Mus musculus: one gene and its partners. The protein of the gene in region 1 interacts with the protein of each later gene in a pairwise test. Links are inferred from orthologs where the notes say so. Each region holds a gene or a part of one and is shown on either strand. Other genes may lie near its edges. The genes, in order: Pias2, Nav2, Ccndbp1 and Tsr2.

What was found.
Region 2: the proteins of Pias2 (region 1) and Nav2 interact in binary tests that used the Homo sapiens proteins (3 or more experiments, as listed by UniProt). The two-hybrid records come from large-scale screens. The link is inferred for Mus musculus from reciprocal best matches to the Homo sapiens genes PIAS2 and NAV2.
Region 3: the proteins of Pias2 (region 1) and Ccndbp1 interact in binary tests that used the Homo sapiens proteins (3 or more experiments, as listed by UniProt). The two-hybrid records come from large-scale screens. The link is inferred for Mus musculus from reciprocal best matches to the Homo sapiens genes PIAS2 and CCNDBP1.
Region 4: the proteins of Pias2 (region 1) and Tsr2 interact in binary tests that used the Homo sapiens proteins (3 or more experiments, as listed by UniProt). The two-hybrid records come from large-scale screens. The link is inferred for Mus musculus from reciprocal best matches to the Homo sapiens genes PIAS2 and TSR2.

What each region holds. Positions count from the first base shown.
Region 1 is NC_000084.6:77,129,998-77,135,908, reverse strand, and holds part of Pias2 (E3 SUMO-protein ligase PIAS2), read right to left. Parts: intron 5,860-5,911; coding exon 5,786-5,859; intron 2,819-5,785; coding exon 2,658-2,818; intron 1,976-2,657; coding exon 1,842-1,975; intron 130-1,841; coding exon 1-129. UniProt on the Homo sapiens protein: Functions as an E3-type small ubiquitin-like modifier (SUMO) ligase, stabilizing the interaction between UBE2I and the substrate, and as a SUMO-tethering factor.
Region 2 is NC_000073.6:49,605,107-49,609,717, reverse strand, and holds part of Nav2 (neuron navigator 2), read right to left. Parts: intron 3,023-4,611; coding exon 2,897-3,022; 3' UTR 1-2,896. UniProt on the Homo sapiens protein: Possesses 3' to 5' helicase activity and exonuclease activity. Involved in neuronal development, specifically in the development of different sensory organs.
Region 3 is NC_000068.7:121,006,951-121,011,207, forward strand, and holds the start of Ccndbp1 (cyclin-D1-binding protein 1), read left to right. Parts: upstream 1-1,457; 5' UTR 1,458-1,559; coding exon 1,560-1,659; intron 1,660-1,767; coding exon 1,768-1,827; intron 1,828-2,092; coding exon 2,093-2,172; intron 2,173-2,876; coding exon 2,877-2,958; intron 2,959-4,257. Other genes in the region: Tmem62 (transmembrane protein 62 precursor), read left to right, coding at 1-195. UniProt on the Homo sapiens protein: May negatively regulate cell cycle progression. May act at least in part via inhibition of the cyclin-D1/CDK4 complex, thereby preventing phosphorylation of RB1 and blocking E2F-dependent transcription.
Region 4 is NC_000086.7:151,092,459-151,098,915, forward strand, and holds the start of Tsr2 (pre-rRNA-processing protein TSR2 homolog), read right to left. Parts: upstream 4,086-6,457; 5' UTR 4,055-4,085; coding exon 3,971-4,054; intron 3,798-3,970; coding exon 3,707-3,797; intron 1-3,706. UniProt on the Homo sapiens protein: May be involved in 20S pre-rRNA processing.

The DNA of each region.
Region 1 (5,911 bases):
TCCTTTTGGCGGGAGGGTCTTCCTCTTCATCAGAAGAGCTCTCTATTGTTAGATCAATAACATCTATCTTCTTCTTGCTTGCATCACTGGCTACAGTCACTGAACAAGGTTTACTAAAGACACTTGAACCTGGATGGAAATAAACAGGGGGACAAAAAAAGAAATATCAAAGAATTAACAAAAACTAGCTATAGAAGTCTTAAATATGTGCATATATACATGAAAATACACAGCTAAGGAAACCATATTCTCTAGCAGGGACTAACTCAACATAAGTGAGGACTGCCAGGGCTATTCCTGACAGAGGTCAGAAGCCCCCTTCACAGCATGCTCTCTCCAGCACTATCAGTGGGTTACTACAGAACCTGGGGCTACTCATGTTGTCTTTCTAGGTTAGCAATCCGTGTACAGACAGAACATGAGGGTTAGACAACTGGCCTTATCCCGTGGGACAAGAGTATAGAATGTGACCAGCTCTGCACTGTCATCATACACGTGTGGCAGTATTGAGTATGCAGTGTCAGTAGCTGCATGTTTCTATATGCGGCACCGCTGAGTTAGAGACAGACATTTCAACTCCAGTGGTCGTATAAAAGTCACAAGCTGGTAAACAAAGCTACTATGGCATGAATCATCTAGTCACTACTCATTCAGTCTATACAAGCAATCACATTTATCATATTATATAACATTATTCTCTATAACCTACCACAAAAAAATGAATGCTATTTCATTAGGGAAAAACCATCAGACATAAATCAATAAAACCATACCTGCCCACACTTTACACTAATGTGGACAACCCATGCAATGTGACTCCTAAGAGTTCGAGCAATCACAAGAGAACAAGTAACAGAGTACTTGCTCAATTCAACAGAGCCAGAAGAAAATCAAAGGAAATGAGTCCAGAGGTTGCATGTGCACATGGACTTCAACTTACCAAACTCCTTTAGCAGGGCCCTTCAGTGCAGATAGCTAAAGGAGCTAAAAGTAAGTACACACGCTGGGTAACTAAAGCTATAGAATCCCTACACCAACAAATGGAAGAATCTGCTCAGTAACAGCTAATTCATGACCAGTCTCCACACTGATTAATAAATGATATATATGGCCGCTCCAACCACAATAGGTTCTATAAAGATATACAAAACAGTTCCTAATCCTTCTGTCTCTCAAGTGTGCTTCTGTGCAATGGCATGCATGTGAAGGACGGGTTAATATCAAGCATCTTCCTCAACTGCGCGCCACTTAAAGGTCTCACTGCACCGATTTCCTTACTTAAGTCTAGTTTAGTGGTTCTCAACCTTCTTACTGCTGGGACACTTTACTACAATTCCTCATGTTATGGTGGCCCCCAAACATAAAATTACTTTTGTTGCTACTTCATAACTGTAATTCTACGATGATTTGCAATATACATATCTGTGTTTTCCAATGGTCTTAAGTCAACCACTGTGAAAAAGTCACTCCACCCCCTCAAGGGGGTCAGCACCCACCCACAGGTAGATAACGGGATGCCCTACGGATTCCTGTCTCTGCCTCCAGAGGACCAGGATTACACAAAGGCCACCCATGGCCCGCCCCATCCGTAACTCAGGGCTGAACTCCAGGCTTCATGCTATCTATACCCATCCTCAAAGCCTTCTAACTTCTCTGTTTTGTACATGAAACACCATTTAAAAGCTTGAAGAATGGTATATAAATTAGCACATTCCTTAAGAAAATGAGGAAGGATGAATGACCTAAAGTTAGCAAACTAAATTCTGAATATAGTCCTAGTAGTTAGAGTTTATACTTCATAATTTATACTGCTTTGAACGTTCCTGACATTCAATACATACTTTCTACTTTTGTACAGGGCTGGCTGGTTACTTTCATAGCTTCTTTTTTAGGTCTCATGGGACACCAAGAACCATCTTCCTGGAATTTGATCTCATCCACATCAGAACAGTCATTGAGAATTTCCATAAAAAGCCTGTAAAGTACATAAATGTCATAAAAGTCAATGATGAAATAAGAAAATAGTATACACTGAAGTCAAAGTAACAGTCTGACCTAAAAAGGCCACTGGAACTTCACTTATTTAACATTCCATGACAATTATAATTCCTCTCTATGGGAGGGAGATAAAGAGATGGATGGGAGGGTAGAGGATGAGCACAAAGGACAGGAATAGAAATCAGGGCCTACCACTGCACACACACAGACTTTGGCACACATATATACACATAATTAAAAATCAAATCTTTAACAAAAAGGAAGACCTAACTTATTAAATCAATTCATACAATTTTCCCAATTCTAATATAAACAATGTAAGAAATCACATTTAGAACTTAACTCCAGAGCCAGAATAACCTACACACAAACTACAGCTTCAAACTTAGCACCTATGTAATATGACTGCATTTATAAGGTACACATAACTACTTAATACTTTGTAGGGTCTCACTATATACTACACACACACACACACACACACACACACACACACACACACACACACACAAATCCAACTAGTCTTAAACTGAGATCTACTTGACTCTGTCTCCTGAGTGATAGAATTAAAAATGTCCCCTACCCCACATCAGCAGTAGCCTGCTTGTTTTCCTCCACTTATTCTATTTCTCTAACTGTTTGCCCAGAGTTACACTTACCCATCTAGTATCAGACTCTCATAGGCAGCCTTTTTGTCACAAACAGGACAGATCCAGGTGGGCTTTTTCTCATTCATCTGAAGATAGAGGGCAGCATCAAAGCACTGCAGATGTGTACAAGTCACTGCACGGCACGGGATTGTCAGCCTCATTTTTCCTAACTACAGAACAGAGAATACAGCAGCAATGAGTTCAAATAGGACAAGAGAACCTACAGGAGAAAAGGTGCTCATTAGAGTCTTAACAAGTCAAACAGGATGTTCAAAATAAAAAGCTCCAGCCTGCCGGGCGGTGGTGGTACATACCTTTAATCCTAAGCACTTGGGAGGCAGAGGCAGGTTTCTGAGTTTGAGGCCAGCCTGTTCTACAGAGTGAGTTCCAGGGCTACACAGAGAAACCTTGTCTCGAAAAAAACCAAACCAAACCAAACCAAACCAAAAACAAAAAAAACCCTCCAGCCTAAATTTACTCTCGTGAAGCTGTTTATCTTTTTATTTATGGGTGGTTTCAAATTTTTTGAAAGATCATTTTACTTCAATAATATCTAAGTTCAAAGGCAGAGAAACACACACACACACACACACACACACACACACACACACACACAAAATTAATGATGCTTTGAAAACAAAGCTGCATAAAGATAACTAAATAAAGGCCAGGCAATGGTGATGCACTCTTTTAATCCCAGCACTTGGGAGGCAAAGGCAGGAGGATCTCTATGAATTCAAGGCCAGCCTGGCCTACAGAGTAAGTTTTAGACCTGGAATTCCAAGGCTACACAGAGAAACCCTGTCTGGAAAAACTCCAATAAAATAAAATAACTCAACAGCAGCAGGTCTACTAAAGCTCAGTGCATTGATATTTTAGCCCAATCTGTCAGCAACTGTTGGAAACAAAATTGGAATAATTATCAGAATAAAAGCTTTATTCCTGTTCTACTAGTGACCCTTTGATTTGAGCTATCCAACCTCAGTCAGTTTCTTATTTTGCAAAATAAAAATGATACCTCCCTCAGGGTTTGTTGAAACATTTACACATAATGGAAACTCAAAAGTTATTTTCTTTCCCAATCCCCCCACCTGATAATTACTTTCTCTCAATTTTAAAAAAAAAAAAAAAAAAAGCACATTTCACATTGGTAGCAATCATCAAACGTCATCCAAAGCTACACTAGAAATGCGTTATTCACAGCTTTCCTCATAAAAGTTCTCTTTCTTCCACAAACTGATTTAAAGAAACTTTCACACAGGAAAAATATGGTGAATGATGTTCAACTACAATGTAAATAAAAACAACAGCTATACTACAAGAATGGAATTTAAGGGAAGAGTCTTTAGCAGGAGCAAAGAAGACCATTTTGTTCTCAAAAAGGAAGCAGTTTTCAAGATGATATAATTATAAAGTTCTAAGTATCTAACAATTTAGGTTTGACTATATTAACACAAATATAACTCATGAAATTATGACAAATAAAGTCTTATATTGAGAATTTAGATGAAATGTGCTGCTGTTTCTAAATGTTTCTGTTTATGTTCCTGAAATAGAAACAGGAATAGAAAGACAGGAGTAGATTTCAATAACCATCAAAGTAGGTACCACAGTCATATCTTTTTATGAATTTATGTTCAAAGAAGACATAATCTCTCTCTAGTCATAGTCTATCTCATAGAAACCGTAAGTGAAGGTGAACAAGATACTCCCGTGAACACACCTTTACTTCCCTAAACCTAATCTCATTGATCTTTTATCTAATAGTAATTCAAACTTTTAGAGGAGGGGGAGGGGGGTGCTGATAAAGCGGCTTTCCACACGTGTCATGGACTCCTGACATAAACAGTCACTACAGGTTTTAGTCATGCAGTGACTATATACTTGCTTTACATAAAATTAACTTAATTGAATTAAAATGTTTTGCTTTGCTTCTGGTGAGGGTTGGGGAGGAGTCAGTTTTCTTTAAGGAACTCACTACCTGGGAGTTTGACCCTGCTCCAATGAGTCTATGTACAGCACAAATTGGACTTGATAGTTTTGGTGGGTGACTCAAGGGTGGATCTGGGAGGAATAAAAAGTGAGTGGGATTGGAGGACACTGTATGAATGTTAGGAAAAAATCTTTTGTTTCTGCTTATGTTACTTAATATATATTAATCATTACATTTTATTACCTAGCTATAACTAACATAAATTGACCCTTTAAAAGGCCAATTCATTTATTTGTAAATATTTTTGAGTTTCTGTTGTATGTAGTCATTCTCCTAGGTATGTGGAATAAATTATTGAATAAATAAAACAATAAATCCCTAAAAAAAAAGGAGGGGGGGAAGAAACGTTAACTATTCCTGACATTTCTCAATCCCTATCATTAGGTACAGTCGGCTACTTTTTCACGGGCTGTGTCCTCTAACTGAATTGTCTACTTTCTCTCAGTTAGCTTGGTGCCAACAACACATTATATAGAAGGGTCTCAGGTCTGCTAATGACTTCTCACCCACATGTCTATGTAAGAATATAGGAAATAAACATTTTGTGTAGTTTAAAAGTGCATTGCAAAGACAGCCCATACATCATAACTCATTGGGCCAAAACCATCAATTAGCATTTATTAGACTCCAGTAATGTTACTGCTATTTATAGTATTAGATGCACTCTGAAAAAAGCTCTTAATTATTAACCTGCATTATTTCACAACATCAATGACGATAGTTTTCTGAGCCTAAGGTTTTGTACTCTTATATAACAATTTTGTACATTCATTCTTCAGAACCATTTAAAGAATACCAAAAAAACAAGCCAGGTGCAGTGGTGCTGGCCTTTAACACCAGCACTTGGAAGGCAACCACAGGCAGATCTCTGTGAGCTCGAGGCCAAGCTGGTCCACAAAGCATGTTCCAGGACAGCCAGAGCTGGTACACAGGGAAACCATGTCTTGGGAAAAAAACAAAAAAAAAAAAACAAGAAACAAATAAAAGAATACAAAAAACCCTTAACACTTAATATCTACATGGAAAAGACAAAAAGTTTAGAATTCTCCCAGTACTCTTCCATTCACCCCACCCTCACTCTTCTACCACACTTAGTCACTTACGAAAAGCCAAGCTGGCCTGAACGCTTTGTCACTTTACTTACAGGGCACATCAAGGACACTCGAAGACTAGTTGTAGCAATTTCACTATCAGGGTCTGCAGTAAGTTTTTCTTTAACTTTAAAAAGAACAAAATGGTAATGATAAAGTTTAAAGTTAATAGTAATATT
Region 2 (4,611 bases), on another chromosome or scaffold:
ACCTCCCATTCGATATCCGCAAAGTTGGACTGTTTTTGCTTTTGAAGTAGATTTGCCAGGGTTGGAATTTGAGCACACAGAATTTTAAAGTCGAGCATTAAACAATAAAATTTAAAATGTCCCCAAGGTCAGAGGAAGATCTGGGTGAGTCTTGCCCTTGTCACACTCCCACCCCACCCCCAACCTTAAGTTAAAAGGACTTCTGTAGAATTCTTGGCCTCCTGGGAAGAAAACTTTTGGCTCCCCCTGGTACCTCAGCAGCGGCATTGCATAGGATTTCAAAAGTAGCCTATCTATAGAAAAAGGCAAAATGGAAGCATTGCAGACAGAGTTCTAAATGGGTACAAAGTCATTTTGTCCAAGGTCGAGCAACTTAAAAGGAAAATCATGACCCAGTCGGAAATGTGCCTTTCAGACAGCCCCACTTCCCAGTGTTTCGGGAAGGTGGCTGAGCCAGGAGGCACTCTGGGGCTACAGAACCAAGTCAGGCAGCAATGGGTACACAGGCTGCTGTTGCGATCCTGGGTGGGCTGGGAGAGACATCTGGGCGTGGAGAGTGGGGAGAGGGTGTTGCTAAGGAAACAGTTTTAAGCAATGTTGGTGCGGTGTACTCCTAAGGTGACTGAGAAAACTATGTTGAGGAGGGGTTCGATTTTCCTACCTCCCAAATTCACAGTATGAGAGTGTACGGCCGTTGCTGGGAGACAAGACTGAGAAGGGCTACCCTTCAGGGGCACTGGAAGGCTCAGGGTTTGGCCCTGGTCACAGGCTAGACACGTGGTTTGAAACTTTTATTACAAACAAAACAACAGAAGACACACTCACATCCACACTAGTAGCAAAGGCAGGCTGGGTCTGGGCTTACAGCAGGGAACGGAAATGTTTCTAGTTACCAGTTAGCAGGACACATTCTTGTTCCTTTCAATGAGGAAGAAAATCAGTGCCATTCCAAAGAAAGCGAGCAGTTTTGGGCCAAGCTCTTAGGGTAAGAAAAAAAAAAAAAAAAAAAAAGACAAACGTTCAAGAATGGAACATCAAAGATGAGGTTAAAAACCCTGATCGTTAACAGAGACACCCTCGGTGGGGCCAGGAAAGTTTCTATAAAACACAAAGAGCTCAAAGATGTCCATACGGTGAAGAGGACACCAGTGTGCTGAAGCCATGGCACACTGAGGGGTGTGTCCTAGAGTACAAATTTGCAAGGTTGAATGGACTTGTGGGGTCACTGTCCAGTGAATTTGTTGGCTGGAGACCGATAGGAGCCTAAAAAACATCTCTCTCTCTCTCTCTCTCTCTCTCTCTCTCTCCCTCCCTCCCTCCCCCTCCCCCCCCCCCAATCATACATCCACATAGATGACTCTCTGAGATGAGAGGTCGGCAACTTGTGTTCTCTTCATGGATAGATGACTTATAGCCCTGTTTACTTCGATGGGGAAGACACACACACACACACACACACACACACACACACACACACACACACACACACACACACAACCCCAGGCAGGCACAACACTCATGTGAATGGACACGGTCAGCACAAAACCAGTAAGGCATTGCATGGGGGCGGTCAGCACCGAAGAGGTCAGGCAAGGCTCATCGGGACGGAGGCACGGCTGGCCGGGTTTCTGGGAAGGGTGGCCGCCCCTCCCTGGCTAAGCTGTGTCACATTGGATCTGAGGAAAGTGCCAGCTTTTGGTGAGGGGGCATCGTCAACTCCTCCTGCAACTGGGGTCTGGGGTGCCCAAGGTGATGCTGTGGGGTTCTCAGCTCTCAGAGACAAGAAGGAAAGGCGAGGTCCATGGCTCACCCACAGGAGGAGAACTAGTCCTCCTCTATCTGAAAGGATATGGATGCCCACACAACCCCGGAAGGAGGTGTCGAGGGCCCAGAACTGTGACAGTGGACACTGAAAACCCAGGCTGAGGGAGGAGGCAAACTCTACTTAGTTCTTGCTTTCACCAAAGGACTAATTCTGGTCAAGGGAGTGGGGGTTGGGGAAAAGGGGCCTTCACAATCAACCAGGAAGAAAGGCAGACACAGGCAGGGGTTGATAGTTCTCCAAAGAACTACTTGTACAGTACACAGTGTTTGCGGACAGAAACCTGACCATTTAGACAGACGAAGGAAACAGGCGCGCTTTTCTGTGTTGCTAGCCCCATCTGCTCACTCACATTCTTGCATCTTCACTTGCTCTCACAGATCATGGGGGTGGGGGTGGGGGTGGGTGGGAGGGATGATGGGCCGGGAACAGGGGGAGGGGTGCACTGGAATAGACAGAATACCTCTCGGGAAGGCGAGCACCATGTGGAAAACAGAGACATGTGATGTATGGGTGTCCCTGGGTGGCGCTCCAAGCAGGCGCCCTCGTTAGCACCAATTCTTCCATGGAGGGTGGGTGGCATGGCTCTGGGGTGCTGGTGGCCAGACCCAAACTGGCGGGGTCTGTGCTGGGAGTAAGCCCTGCTGTCTGTGTTTCCAAGTTGAGTTTAGTCTTTTCTGTCTGGGGGGTAGTATGTGGAGGGATGCTGTTGGGTTTCAGGGCACCAAGTGGAATCTTACGTTTAAAATTTCCATTTAAACCCTTTATATTTCAACAGTGAGGATCCTTTCCCATGAAGTATTTTCAGTGTCTCACGGAGGTCACGGCAACAAGGCAAAAAAAAAAACGAGGATGAGGGTAGAAGAGAGGCTAGTACAGTTGTCACTGTCGGAAGGGGAGGTCCTGGGCTGCTCATGCGAGGGCAGAGAGCAAGGGACGAGGAGGGGTTCCTGCTCCCGCTACTCTGCTCTGGCTTCAAGGCTGTGGCAGCCAGGGCTGGCTCAGGAAGTCATCTTCAGAACGAAGTGGAGGATGCGGGGTGGGATGGAGCGAGGGAGAGTGGGGGAGTCTCCATCACAGAGTGGACTCCAAGGACGAGTCCAGGATGTCGTCATGGTGGCTGTTGCTGTTGGAGTCGCTGTCATAGCTCTGGGGGCTGGAGTAGTTGGCCGCCTCCTGCAACCTCATCAGCATGTTCATCTGTGGGGAGAGCAGAGGGGTTGGAGTGCCTGCCAGTTGGCTGGGAAGCCCACCCTGGCCTCTTTGGAGCCCCCGCCACCTACTCCAGACTCACCCCGCAGGTCAGGGCTTACCAGAGAGGCTGCAGACAAGAGCACAAGAGTCCTGGGCTCAGATTCCAGCTTCCCTGCTTACCCTTCCATGACCTTGAAAGGTTACTTAGTCCTTTTCTGTGGCATTTCCTTACTGCTCAAACTTAACTCAATAGTTCCTGCCCGTCATGTGGAGGTCTGGGATGAGCTAATATATTTGCCACACTGTGAGTTAAGTGGAAAACCCTACCAATGCCATCCCCACGGCTGTCGCTAGCAGCCTTGACATCTGAGGCATAAGGGCCTCAGTCACTGCCACAGCCTTTGGGAGGGGGAGGAGCAGCTTGCCAGGAGCAATCATGGTGCAGGGGATATGCGCCACACCACGTACCAAAGCACCCGAGCCTCCCTTGTCCCGTGCGTGGACCAGACGCAGGGCTGATCTCTTGGGGAGCAAAGGACATGGTGTGCTGACCACTCAAGAACAGCCCACCCGCTGCAGAGCAAGCTTTTGAATATGTTTGGCCCAGCGAGTGGCACTACGTGAAGATGTGGCCTTGGAGTAGGTGTGTCGCTGTGGGTGTGGGCTTTAAGAACCTCTTCCTAGCTGCCTGGAAGTCAGTACTCTCCTAACAGCCTGCAGATGAAGATGTGGAACTCTCAGTTTCTCCTGCACCATGCCTGCCTAGATGCTGTCAAGCTCCCACCTTGAGGATACTGGACTAAGCTTCTAAACCTGTAAGGCAGCCCCAACTAAATGCTGTCCTAAGAGTTGCCTTGGTCATGGTGTCTGTTCACAGCCGTGAAACCCTAACTAAGACAGAGTGTGAGCTGTTGCCTGCCACCTTTACCTCAAGTGGAGAAAGAACCCAAGCCTAACCTCCTAACCTCCTCTGGCAGCCATACAGCAGTTAATTCTCTGCAGCAGAGAGGGCTACTCACTATCGAATACCCCCAGTCAGTCCAGATCTCAGGACGGATGACGCAATGACCTTGCTAGCCTCAGTAAGACCCACATGACCTTGGCCTTGAGAAATGTCTACTGGATCCGGCATTCCCTTCAGACCCTGGGCAGGATAGCAGCGTTGAATTCTTTTAGTCAGCACCTATTCACAGCCTCAACACGGGGTGGCTGTGCTGCAGCAGCGACTGGCAGGACGCAGACTACCGAGGTCACCTGCTGGCATTTATTTAGTCCACTGGCTCCTCACGAGGGCTAGAACAGGTGATGTGGCTGCCTTCCAGCCCTGCCGCCCTTCTGAAGAGTGTTCCTCCATTATGCAATGCAAGCAATACTCTTTGTCCGACTTTTGTCGCAGCTGCCATAGAAGTGAGGGGCGGGTTTCAGGCAGGCTGACAGCCATATCTGGGGGGACTTGGGCACACTTCCTTCCTTCCTCCAAAAAGCTCCTATGGCTTTTTGTTGAGTGAGGTATAACTTGGCAGCATTGCTATGCATGAGTCTAGAATTGATTGGGGCTTTATCATTGCTACCCAAGGTCTGTCTGTTTGTCTTCC
Region 3 (4,257 bases), on another chromosome or scaffold:
CTTCTACTGTACATATGGCAGGTTTATTCTTGCTACTTTCTTCATGTGACATATGGCTCCCTAGCCTTTACATTCTCTCCATTGAGGACCTGGTTGACATTGCTGACACCTGTGCTCATTTACCGTGTGTGGACATTGAACTCCACTGAACTTGGAATATTCATGGTGCAGTTAAAAAGTCATCTGAGCTCCTGAAGTCCATGGCTTACAGCTAGCAGCCTGGAAGAAGTCCAGCCTCCACATTTGTGGCTCAGATCTCTGCCCTGTGGCAGATGGGAAAGCCAGTATCAGTGGGTGAGCTTCAGGAAGCAGTCACTCCTTGGACATCTGAATGTTGGAAATGTTTACTACTGATTCTTGCTGTGTGGACTGCAGAAAAGTCTAACAATTGATTCTTCCTCAGGAGGCAAAGAGCCCTAATCAAGAAGATTGCCACAGTGGGGTCTCTGTGTCACTGTGTCCCTTGGTACTACTGTGTTTATTAGGGTCATCCTGTGAAAAGCATCCAGCCCGAACTTGGAGTTCAGGATGTCATTTTCTGCCTAGGGAGCCTGTGGAAACTTGTCCTGGACCTTTACTGCTCCTGAGACTTGACTTCCCAGCCTGTTTCCCCACCGATCATGGGCTTTCTGCTTCCTTAGCCAAGGTTGTTTTCAACTAATCAAATAAATGAATGAATGGTAGCCATAAACAATGGGTTGGAGAGATCAGTGGTTAAGAGCATGTACTTTACCTCCAGAAGACCCGAGTTCAATCCCTAGCAACCATGTCAGATGCTCACAACTGCCTGTAACTCTAGCTCCAGGCCAGAGCCACTGTGGGCACCTACATTCATATGTGCACAGACTTACATGTGATTAAAAAATAATAAAAGATAAGTATTAACAAAGAAATATCACAAACGGATCTGCAATGTTGATAAACATATGGGAGCCAGAAAGTGGGCCTGGTTTGGGGGCTTGGAGAAAGAGTCACCAGGGAGCTGGAGTCAGCAGTTAAGAGTGCTGGCTGCTCTTCCAAAGGTCACAGGTTCGATTCCCTTCACTCACACAGTGTAACTCCGGGTCCTGGGGATCTGATTCCCTCTCTGGCCTCTGCAGGCACTGCCACGGACATATTTACAGGGGAAAAGCTCAGTTACATAGAAGAGTGGCCAGGTCTCTAGTAGGTCAAAAGATGCCTGGCTGGGTCTTTTGAGTGGCCTAGTGTCATGGAGGGAGGGGTAGTGGGGTGTAGCCAGGGACTGGAAAAAGTCTCTAGATCTGCGGGGAGGGCAGGTGAAGGAGGCGTGGCTGGGTCTCCAGGCCGGGCCAGCGGGGAGTGGGCAGGTTTCCAGTGGGGAGGCGTGGTCTTGTTCCTGAGTGGGCGGGTCTCTGGGGGTGGGGGGAGGCGTGGACGGATGGCCGGGCTGTCTGGGAAGGCGGGGTCGCTACACTGAGAAGGAAGGGGCGGGACGCGCTGTGTGTTGCCGGAAACGAGATGAGTTTTTCAGCACCGGAAGTACTGCGGCGGGGCCAAATGGCTTAAGCGTCTTAGCTGGTTCCCAGAGAGAGCCTGCGATGGCGAGCTCGACAGCCGCAGTCCCCTTCCTTGCTCCGCCTCTGGAGCAGCTCCGGCACTTAGCAGAGGAGCTACGGTCACTTCTGCCTCGAGTACGGGGTGAGTTATGGGAATCTGCATCCCGGGCTCCGGGTAGGGATGTAGGGCATCAGGTCAGGGCTCCTCTCACCTGTCTTTTGCTTTCGGGGTGATCCGGCCTTCCTCAAGTCGGCGAAGCCCAGGAGACAGCGGAGGAATTTAATCGAGAAATGTTTTGGAGAAGACTCAGTGAGTGTCTGCCGTTGCGGGCTCTTCCCTCATCTCCCTGCATCCTAACCTTCCCTCTGCTGTCCCCTGAGATGACAATGTCTCTGGTCCTCATCCCTTCTCCCACCCATTCTCCGCACTTGAAGCAGAAATATAAAACGATTTCTGGAGTTGTTTTGGAGATGTTGATTAGGGTGGAAAAGGGACGCGTTATCTAAAAAGTCCAAGTAGTAACTTTAACCTTTTAACACTAACTTTGGCCCCCTGCCGCCTCTGACACCCCCAGATGAGGCAGCAGTGAAAGTGAACGGGGAAGCCACTGTTCTGACAACGCACTTCTCTAAACTTCCATGGCCATCTCCACAGGTGAGCTTTGCTTCCGGAGGGTTATTTTCTCCTTAAGAATCCTCCCGTTTTCTTACCCTTCACATTCAAGCCACACTTATTTCCCCCACTTAGCAAGCGAGGTTACAGTTCTTACCACATGGGATTGTTGTAAATAGCCAGGTGCATAGGGTTAGAAAGGTCTTCTAAATTTAGGCTGAAACTCAGCCAGGTTAGTTCCTCTTAACTTTCAACTTTCCTTGTTGATTTATAGCTGTTTCACATACATATTCCCCATCTGACCAATGAGTAAGCAGGTTTAGAGGCTCAGGTCAATAAATAGCAGAGGAGGAGTTAAATGTCTTTGCAGTATCTAAGCAGCACCTGTTATATAAAACCCTTTAGTGTTAAGATGTTGCTGTTGCTGCTGGTGGTACACACCTTTAATCCCGGCACTTTAAGGAGGCAGGGGCTGGCTGCTCTCTTGAGTTCAAGACCAGCCTGGTCTACAGAGCAAGTTCCAGGACAGCCAAGGCTGTCCTTCTTTTTGTAATGCTTTTTATAATTGTCAGGTGTCTACCTAATTTCTTTCTATTGTGTGGTGAGTACATTATAAGACCTGACTCATGACGAGTTTTCATAAAAGATTTAACCATGCTCTATAGATGTTTGGTCTCTTCCTTAGTAAATGAGTTGACAGCATTGATGTTAAACATTCTTTCTGAATTTGGTCCATCACCTCATAGGAAACCCAGAGGATCTGTGAGCAAGTCCGTATTGCCATCGAGGAAATAATTATAGTGTATTATTCACTTCCTAAGGACCAGGGTAAGTGACCGTACACGGTAGTGTTGTATTCATGGGCTAGGGCTTTGCTAAGGTAGTAGACTATATCCTGACATGTAAACATTATATGTTTATCTTCAGGGTAATATTATATATTTATACGTAAGTATATTATCCATGTTTGTTTCTCTTCATTTTGAGCATGTGACTTTCCTGTGAAATAAAATCGAAGATAATTTTATATGTGAGTGAGTTTTGTGACACTCCCTTATGTGAAGGTACAGATGCTATGTAACTGTGACTTTCCATCGTGTGTGTGTGTGTGTGTGTGTGTGTGTGTGTGCAGGTACACACATGGGCTCTCTCCTTCTACCGTGGGTTCCTGGGATTCAACTCAGATCATCAGGCGTGTGCAGCAAGTGCTTTTACCTGCTGAGCCATCTCAACTGGCTGTTACATTTTTTTTTTTTTATTTTATGGGTATGGGTGCTTTGTCTGCATGTGTGTCTGTGTACCACATGTATGTGGTCCCTGCTGAGGTCAGAAGAGGGTGTTGGGTCCCCTGGAACTGAAGTTACAGTGTGTGTGCTGCTGTGTGGGTTGTGGAACTTGGCCCTGGGTCCTCTGGAAGACACTAAGTTCTCTTCAGTGCTGAGCCATGTCTTCAGCCCCTCAACTGACCCTTTATAAAAAAAAATCATCTATTATTTGTGTCTGTGATGTATGAAGTTGCACGTGTTCATTCAGGTACTTATGCATGTGTATATGAGTACACATGGAGGCCAATGTCTTGTGGTTTTGGAGTTCACTGATTCCCCAGGGAGCCTCCTAGCTCTGCTCTCCCTGCACTGGCATCATGGGAACACTTGAGTGTGTCGGCCTTTCTCACGTAGGTTCTGGGAACTGAACTCAAGACATCATGGTTATGTAGCTGGCATTTTCCCAAATATGCCGTCTTTTCAGCTCCTCATTCCTCTTCTTTTTTTTTTTTTTTTTTAAATTAGGTATTTTCCTCGTTTACATTTCCAATGCTATCCCAAAAGTCCCTCATACCCACACCCCCAAGTTCCTCTTCTTTTTAGTCCATTCTAATTCCTACATTTGTTTGCTGGATCCCAGCTCCATACCCATACCCAGGCCATCCCGACCCTCCTCCACCTAGCATTACATCATAACCTATTGCAAACCCCTTCACAAGTTAGCATACCCTGGCCCATAGATTTATGGCGTCACTGAAGCTCTACAGAGAGAATCAATGAAAGCATAACATAGTTTATCAGGGTTACTAACACATGCTTTACACGGCCAGTGTTTTGCTCACAATTATCAAAGGGCCGGCAT
Region 4 (6,457 bases), on another chromosome or scaffold:
GTGGGTTAGAGCACCCGACTGCTCTTCTGAAGGTCCAGAGTTCAAATCCCAGCAACCACATGGTGGCTCACAATCATCTGTAACGAGATCTGACTCCCTCTTCTGGAGTGTCTGAAGACAGCTACAATGTACTTACATATAATAAATAAATAAATCTTAAAAAAAAATTTTGTCTTCCACTCAGGCTAATTATGTGTCCAAATGTTAAACAGGTCCCTATATCCAAAGCCAGGTTTATTATCCTGCCTTCCAAACCAGCATCTCATCCTCCAAGGTTCCTCTATCCAATGAAAGGCTTCTATCTACCCTGCCACTCATCATAAATCTCTTTTCCAAACCCCCTCTATTGATACTCTCTTTTTCTCTGACCATTGCCATTGTCCTACGTTAGACATTATTTTCTTTTTTCTTTTTAAGATTTATTTATTATATGTAAGTACACTGTAGCTGTCTTCAGATGCACCAGAAGAGGCCATCAGATCTCATTACGGGTGGTTGTGAGCCACCATGTGGTTGCTGGGATTTGAACTTCGGACCTTCAGAAAAGCAGTCGGGTGCTCTTACCCACTGAGCCATCTCACCAGCCCCCTAGACATTATTTTCTATACTAACTACTTTCTGAATTTTCTAGCTAGCAAACACTACTTACTTACCTTAGAACCTGCTCATGAATTTTATCACCTATTGTGAAGCTTGCCTTTAGGAAATATTTTGCTGAGTTTCAGGGTTTTGTTTTTATAACAGGTATGTAGCCCAGGCTAGCATCAAACTCACTATATAATACAGGGTTAGCCTGGAATTCCTCCTGGTAATTGATTATCCTCCTTCCTTCACCTCCCAGTGCTAAGATTACAGGCATGAATCACTATGCCTGGTTAATGTGGCTCTAGGGATTGAACCCTGGACCTCTTATGTTAGATAAATACTCTACCAATTGTGTTACATTCCCAGCTCAATTTTGCTGAGTTTTACGGGAAGATCTCCATAAAAAGCTAATGGAAAACAGAGTCAGGACTGATGGCACACACCTATATAACCCTGCACTCAGGAAAATGAGGCATGAGGAACATAAATTCCATGGCAGCCTGAGCTATAGAAGGAGATACTGTCTCCAATTACTACTACTACTACTAGGAATAAAATAGCAGCTGGAAGAAAAAAGCTTCTATAATTTGACTGGAGAAACATTTTCTTCATTGAATATCTAACGAGACAAGTCTTTTATAGCTTGAATTTTACAGACACTGGCTTTCTATCTCTATAAGCAAAGTCACAGAAGGCCTTTTATCTCTTACCCTTTAGTCAGTGTCTCTGTACACACACACACACACACACACACACACACACACACACCATTCTCTACCACTCTTCCATCCCCTTAATATAATGCACTTAACTCCTTTGAGTACATGCTTTATCATCTCTACCTAGTTTCCCCCTTTTCATTCCTTAGGCCTCACTCTAATCGCTACTCTTAAGAAGGCCTCTTACTGACCAGTGGTGGCGCGCACACCTTTAATCCCAGCACTTGGGAGACAAGAGACAGGTAGATCTCGGAGTCTGAGGCCAGCCTGGTCAACAGAAGAGTTCTAGAATAGTCAGTGCTACATAGCGAAACCCTGTCTCAAAAAAAAAAAAAAAAAAAAAAAACCCAAAAAACAAAAATCAAATCAAAAAGGCTTCTCCTCAGGCTCAGTTAACTGAAGAATTCTGAGCTCCTCTTTAGCATAACACACACCACCCAGTATTTTAACTATTCATTTACTTACCTGAAATCACTCACTAGATTGTAAATGTTGAGCTGTGAATCTGCCTAATACCATCCTCAAAACTAGGATATTGGGGGCTGGAGAGATGGCTCAGTGGTTAAGAGCACCAACTGCTCTTCCAAAGGTCCTGAGTTCAAATCCCAGCAACCCCATGGCGGCTCACAACCATCTGTAAAGGGATCTGATGTCCTCTTCTGGTGTGTCTGAAGACAGCTACAGTGTACTCATATAAATAAAATAATCTTTAAAAAAACCTAGGATGTTAATGAAGAGTTAAAAAAAAACAGCATGCAATACTCTAAGTCCTCTTGTTCTTTTATACCCCACCAAGACAAAATGGAAGTGTAGAACTTTTGTGTAGAAGCAGCAGCATGTGCTTATCGAGCACAAGCACTTAGAATGTGGCTGGTCACAAATGAGACGTACTAAGACTTTTAAAATTCCAGATTGTGCCGGGCGTGGTGGCGCACGCCTTTAATCCCAGCACTCTGGAGGCAGAGGCAGGTGGATTTCTGAGTTCAAGGCCAGCCTGGTCTACAGAGTGAGTTCCAGGGCAGCCAGGGCTACACAGAGAAACTCTGTCTTGAAAAACCTAAATAAATAAATAAACTCCAGATTGTGAAATTTAATACTAAAAGTGAAAAATGCTTAATTCTTATGACATACTAAAATATTTTGGAAGAGGATTTTTGTTGTATTTATTTCATGTGCATGTTGTTTTGATTGCCTGTGTGTGCACTGTGTGTACCTGGTGCCCAGATAAGGACAGAAAGATGATATCAGAACCCCTGGAACTGGAGTCATAGATAACTATGAGATACCATGTAGGTGCTGGGAACGGAACCGAGGTCCAATGCAAGAACAAATGCTCTTAACTGCTGAGCCATCCTTTCAGCCCTGTGTTACTTATTTGTTAATTACATGTATGTGCATGCACATGTGTACAGATGAGGAACATTTTGGATCCTCTGGCGCTGGAGTTACAGGTGGTTGTGAGCTGAGAACCCAACTCAGGTTAGGAAGAGCAGGACGCACTTTTAACAGCTGAACATTTCTCCAGCCCCTTCTTTTATCATAAGGACAACTTGGGGATATGGAGCTTGAAACTTAGAGCAATTCCCCTGTCTCCGTCTCCCTGGTGCTAGAATCACAAACATGGCCCATATGCTAGACCTTGGATATGAATTTAATAACACTATAATATTTGCTTCTTTCATTCATTTATTCATTTGTGGTAGTATGAGTAGTGTAGAGCCTCACATGTGTGTAGTAAGCAAGCACTTCCATTGAGCTATATCTCCAAGTCTTTATATTATTTTTATTATGAGACAAGGTTGTGGTGAATCTGAACTTGAGGTCCTTTTGCATCAGGAATATGAGAGTACATGCCTGCACCACAGGGCCTGGCTGCCTTTTATTTATCAGAGGTACTGCTTTTAGTTTTGGTGGCACCAGGGTTGGAGCCCAGGGACACGAGCAGACTAGGAAAGTGCTCTACCACTGGGCTACACTCCTCACCCAACAATTTTAAAATTATATTTACTTGTGTAGGGAGAATCAGAGGACACCTTAAGCGTGTACCAGTTCTCTCCTTCCATGTTGTCCCAGCTATGAAATTCGGACTGTTATGCTTGTTGGCCTTTGTCCACGGAGCTGTCCCCCACCCCTCATCCAGCAATTTTAAGTTACAAGATATGACTCGAATAGTTCTTTTCGTCGGATCTTTCCATAACCATTTTAGAAAGTAGGAAAATGACTCTCTGGAAGGCAAAATGCGTTCTCCAGCATAATAGCATTTGAGTGTCATTGCCTCTAAGGCACTCTAAAGACACAATTCTGATCTCAAAGTCACGATTCATTCATCAAACGCGGGCTCTCTACGTCGAGGCTCTGCCACGCCACACTGCGACAGACAGCAACACCTCACATTCACTCACCATTGGCGATGAAGTAATCCTCCACTGCACCCCCTAGCCACTCGGCCTTCTCCTGGCTGTGCACGCCCCCGAAGCCATTCTCCACAGCGATCTGTGAACACAGGCCCAAGCCAACCATGACAGCATGGAAACCAGAACGGCGTGGCCTGCCGGGGCCTGGGAGTCTGCCGCTTACACCGCCCAGCCATGGCTCTGGCGCCTCGCCTGGTCAACTTCTATTTTGTCACAGCCTTAATCGTGACCCCCCGCCAGGACCTCACTTACCTGTAAAGCAGGCCAAGCCTCCAGCGCAGCTCGGACTGCAGCTCCGAAGAGCACACGCACATCTTCAGCGGCGCCCGCCATCATCCGTTTAGATCACGTGGCTCCCAGGCAGCCCAATCGCTAGGGCGACCTCACCAGGCAAAAGGAGCCAAAAGCCGATTCTCAGAACGTGGTTTAGTTTTCTGCCAATCTGGCTGGCAGCAAGACCAGAACAGTGGGAAACGCCATCAGTGGTAGATGCTACCACTTACCACAGTAAATCCTAATAATTAAAGGAGAACCTGGAGCAGAGTACTTAGGAAGCATAGCTGAAATAAAGAGGAAAGGAGAAAAGAATAGCGAGGGCGAGAAAACCTACATTTGCGAGGCTCAGCAGATAAAGGCAATTGCCTCCAAGCCTGAAGAACTGAGTTCAGTCCCTGAGCCCTACAGGATGGAACTAGAGAACCGATTTCTGCAATTTCCTCTCACCTCCACATGTGTTACACGGCATTCACAGGCGCAGGCACTCCCACACACAATAAATAAATGTAATTTTAATTTTTTAAAAATAATTATTTTATATATGTGAGTACACTGTCACTGTCTTCAGAGACACCTCAGAAGAGGGCATCGGATCCAATTGCAGATGGTTTTGAGCCACCATGTGGTTTCTGGGACTTGAACTCAGCTCAGGACCTCTAGGAAGAGCAGTCAGTGCTCTTAACCGCTGATCCATCTCTCCAGCTCCAACAATTCATTCTTGAGTCAAATATGAGTGACCATGTCCAGGATTCAGGTTGTCCAGAAAGATATTTTCTTTTGTGGAAGTGGTCAAATGACATTTTAGTAGTTACAGAACAAAGAAAGTCCTAAGTCAAAGCATTTACTAAATCTATTGATAGAGACTACAGGTAGTGGGATGAGGAAATTTCTGCTTAGGTTTCAGATACTGTCTGATGACATTCTTAGCTTTTGGATTCATAGATGCTCGCTGTTAAGTATGTATTTGAAAAGTTGTGATAACCACGAGATTTCTCGTTCAGATTCAAGGGAAGACAAGGAATTGTTTTCAATGGGATTAAAAGTAGCTCAAGGTCATTTGTCTCTCCTCTGTAACATTTTTACTCACCCCAACCACAAAGCTCCGTCATTTGGTCCTATAGAACGGTCCATACAGATGTACCTGTTCTTTTCTCTAGGAACTTCAGTTTCCACTGTGTAGCCATGTCTGGTATTGGACTCTTACCACACTCTCCTAAATTCTAGGACTAATCACACACCACCACACTTAGCACAGAATATAGATTTTTCTGAAGTTCACAAGAACATTCTCCAAGACACACCATGTAGTATTCCACACAACAGCGTTTAGTATGTTTTAAGGACTAAGGGCTGATAATGTTTCTATCTACCTTGCCAGCATACTGGGGTCCTGGAGTTTCATCCCAAGACCACAAAAGAAAAAAAAAAAAAAAAGAAAGACTGCAAAGCAAAATTAGAAATTAGTAAGAGAAAGAAACATGTGAAATCCATAAATTTGTGTAACCTTATGGACTCTATTTTATGGAAATAGGTCAAAGGACAAAAACAAAGGGAAATTGGAAAACACTATGAAATGAACCTTGAGTGTTGTAGCTGAAGTACTTAGGGGACACATTTTTAGCTTGCAACAAAAATGTTTGAGCTGTAAATATTTAGAAAGAGCCCATGGGGGAGATACAGCCCACCACTGCCCTCAGCAGTCTGAGGAGTTCTGTCCTCCTTCAGGTAAAGCCAGGCCTTTGATTACACTGCAGGAAAGAGGTTCAGGATAAGCCAGCATTGTGATATGATCATCCAGTGTTATCTGATTGTTAGGATCATTATGATATATGATAAGCAAAGTTAATGAGATTTAACTACAAGCGTTTAGAGAACACATTAAGCTCTGTAAGCATTTAGAAAAAGGAACAGTTAGCAAAGGAAGCATTTGTTCTGCTAAAGGAACACACAGCAATAAAATGACACCTAATGACAGTCTCCTATACCGGTAGATCAGTGCCTCTTTCAGCCACCATCAGAGAAGCTTCCTCTTGCAGAAGCCGGGAACCAACATAGAGACCCACAATGTATTGAGAGTGAGAAGCTCTGGTCTTAAATGGAATGTATTCATGAAAGCCCTCTTCAGAATCCCACAGAGGAGAAGGTGGAAAAGATTGTAAGGGCCAGAAAAGATGGACGACATGAAGGAAATAAGGCCTTCTAAATGCAAGAGGACTGATGCACACAGGAACTCACAGAGACTGTGGCAGCATGCACAGGGCCTGCAGCAGCGTAAACCAGATGTGGCTCCCGTGCTTAGAAGGGAGGTAGATGCAAGCCCCCATCCTTAATCCGGAAGGTACCTCCAGTTAACTGATTGAAAAGGGGAAAAACTAGTTTTCTCACTGGGGATACAAACCACTCTTACAGGCAGGCTCTACACGCAGCAGTAGATAGCCAACAAAAACTGGACTCAATGGTATT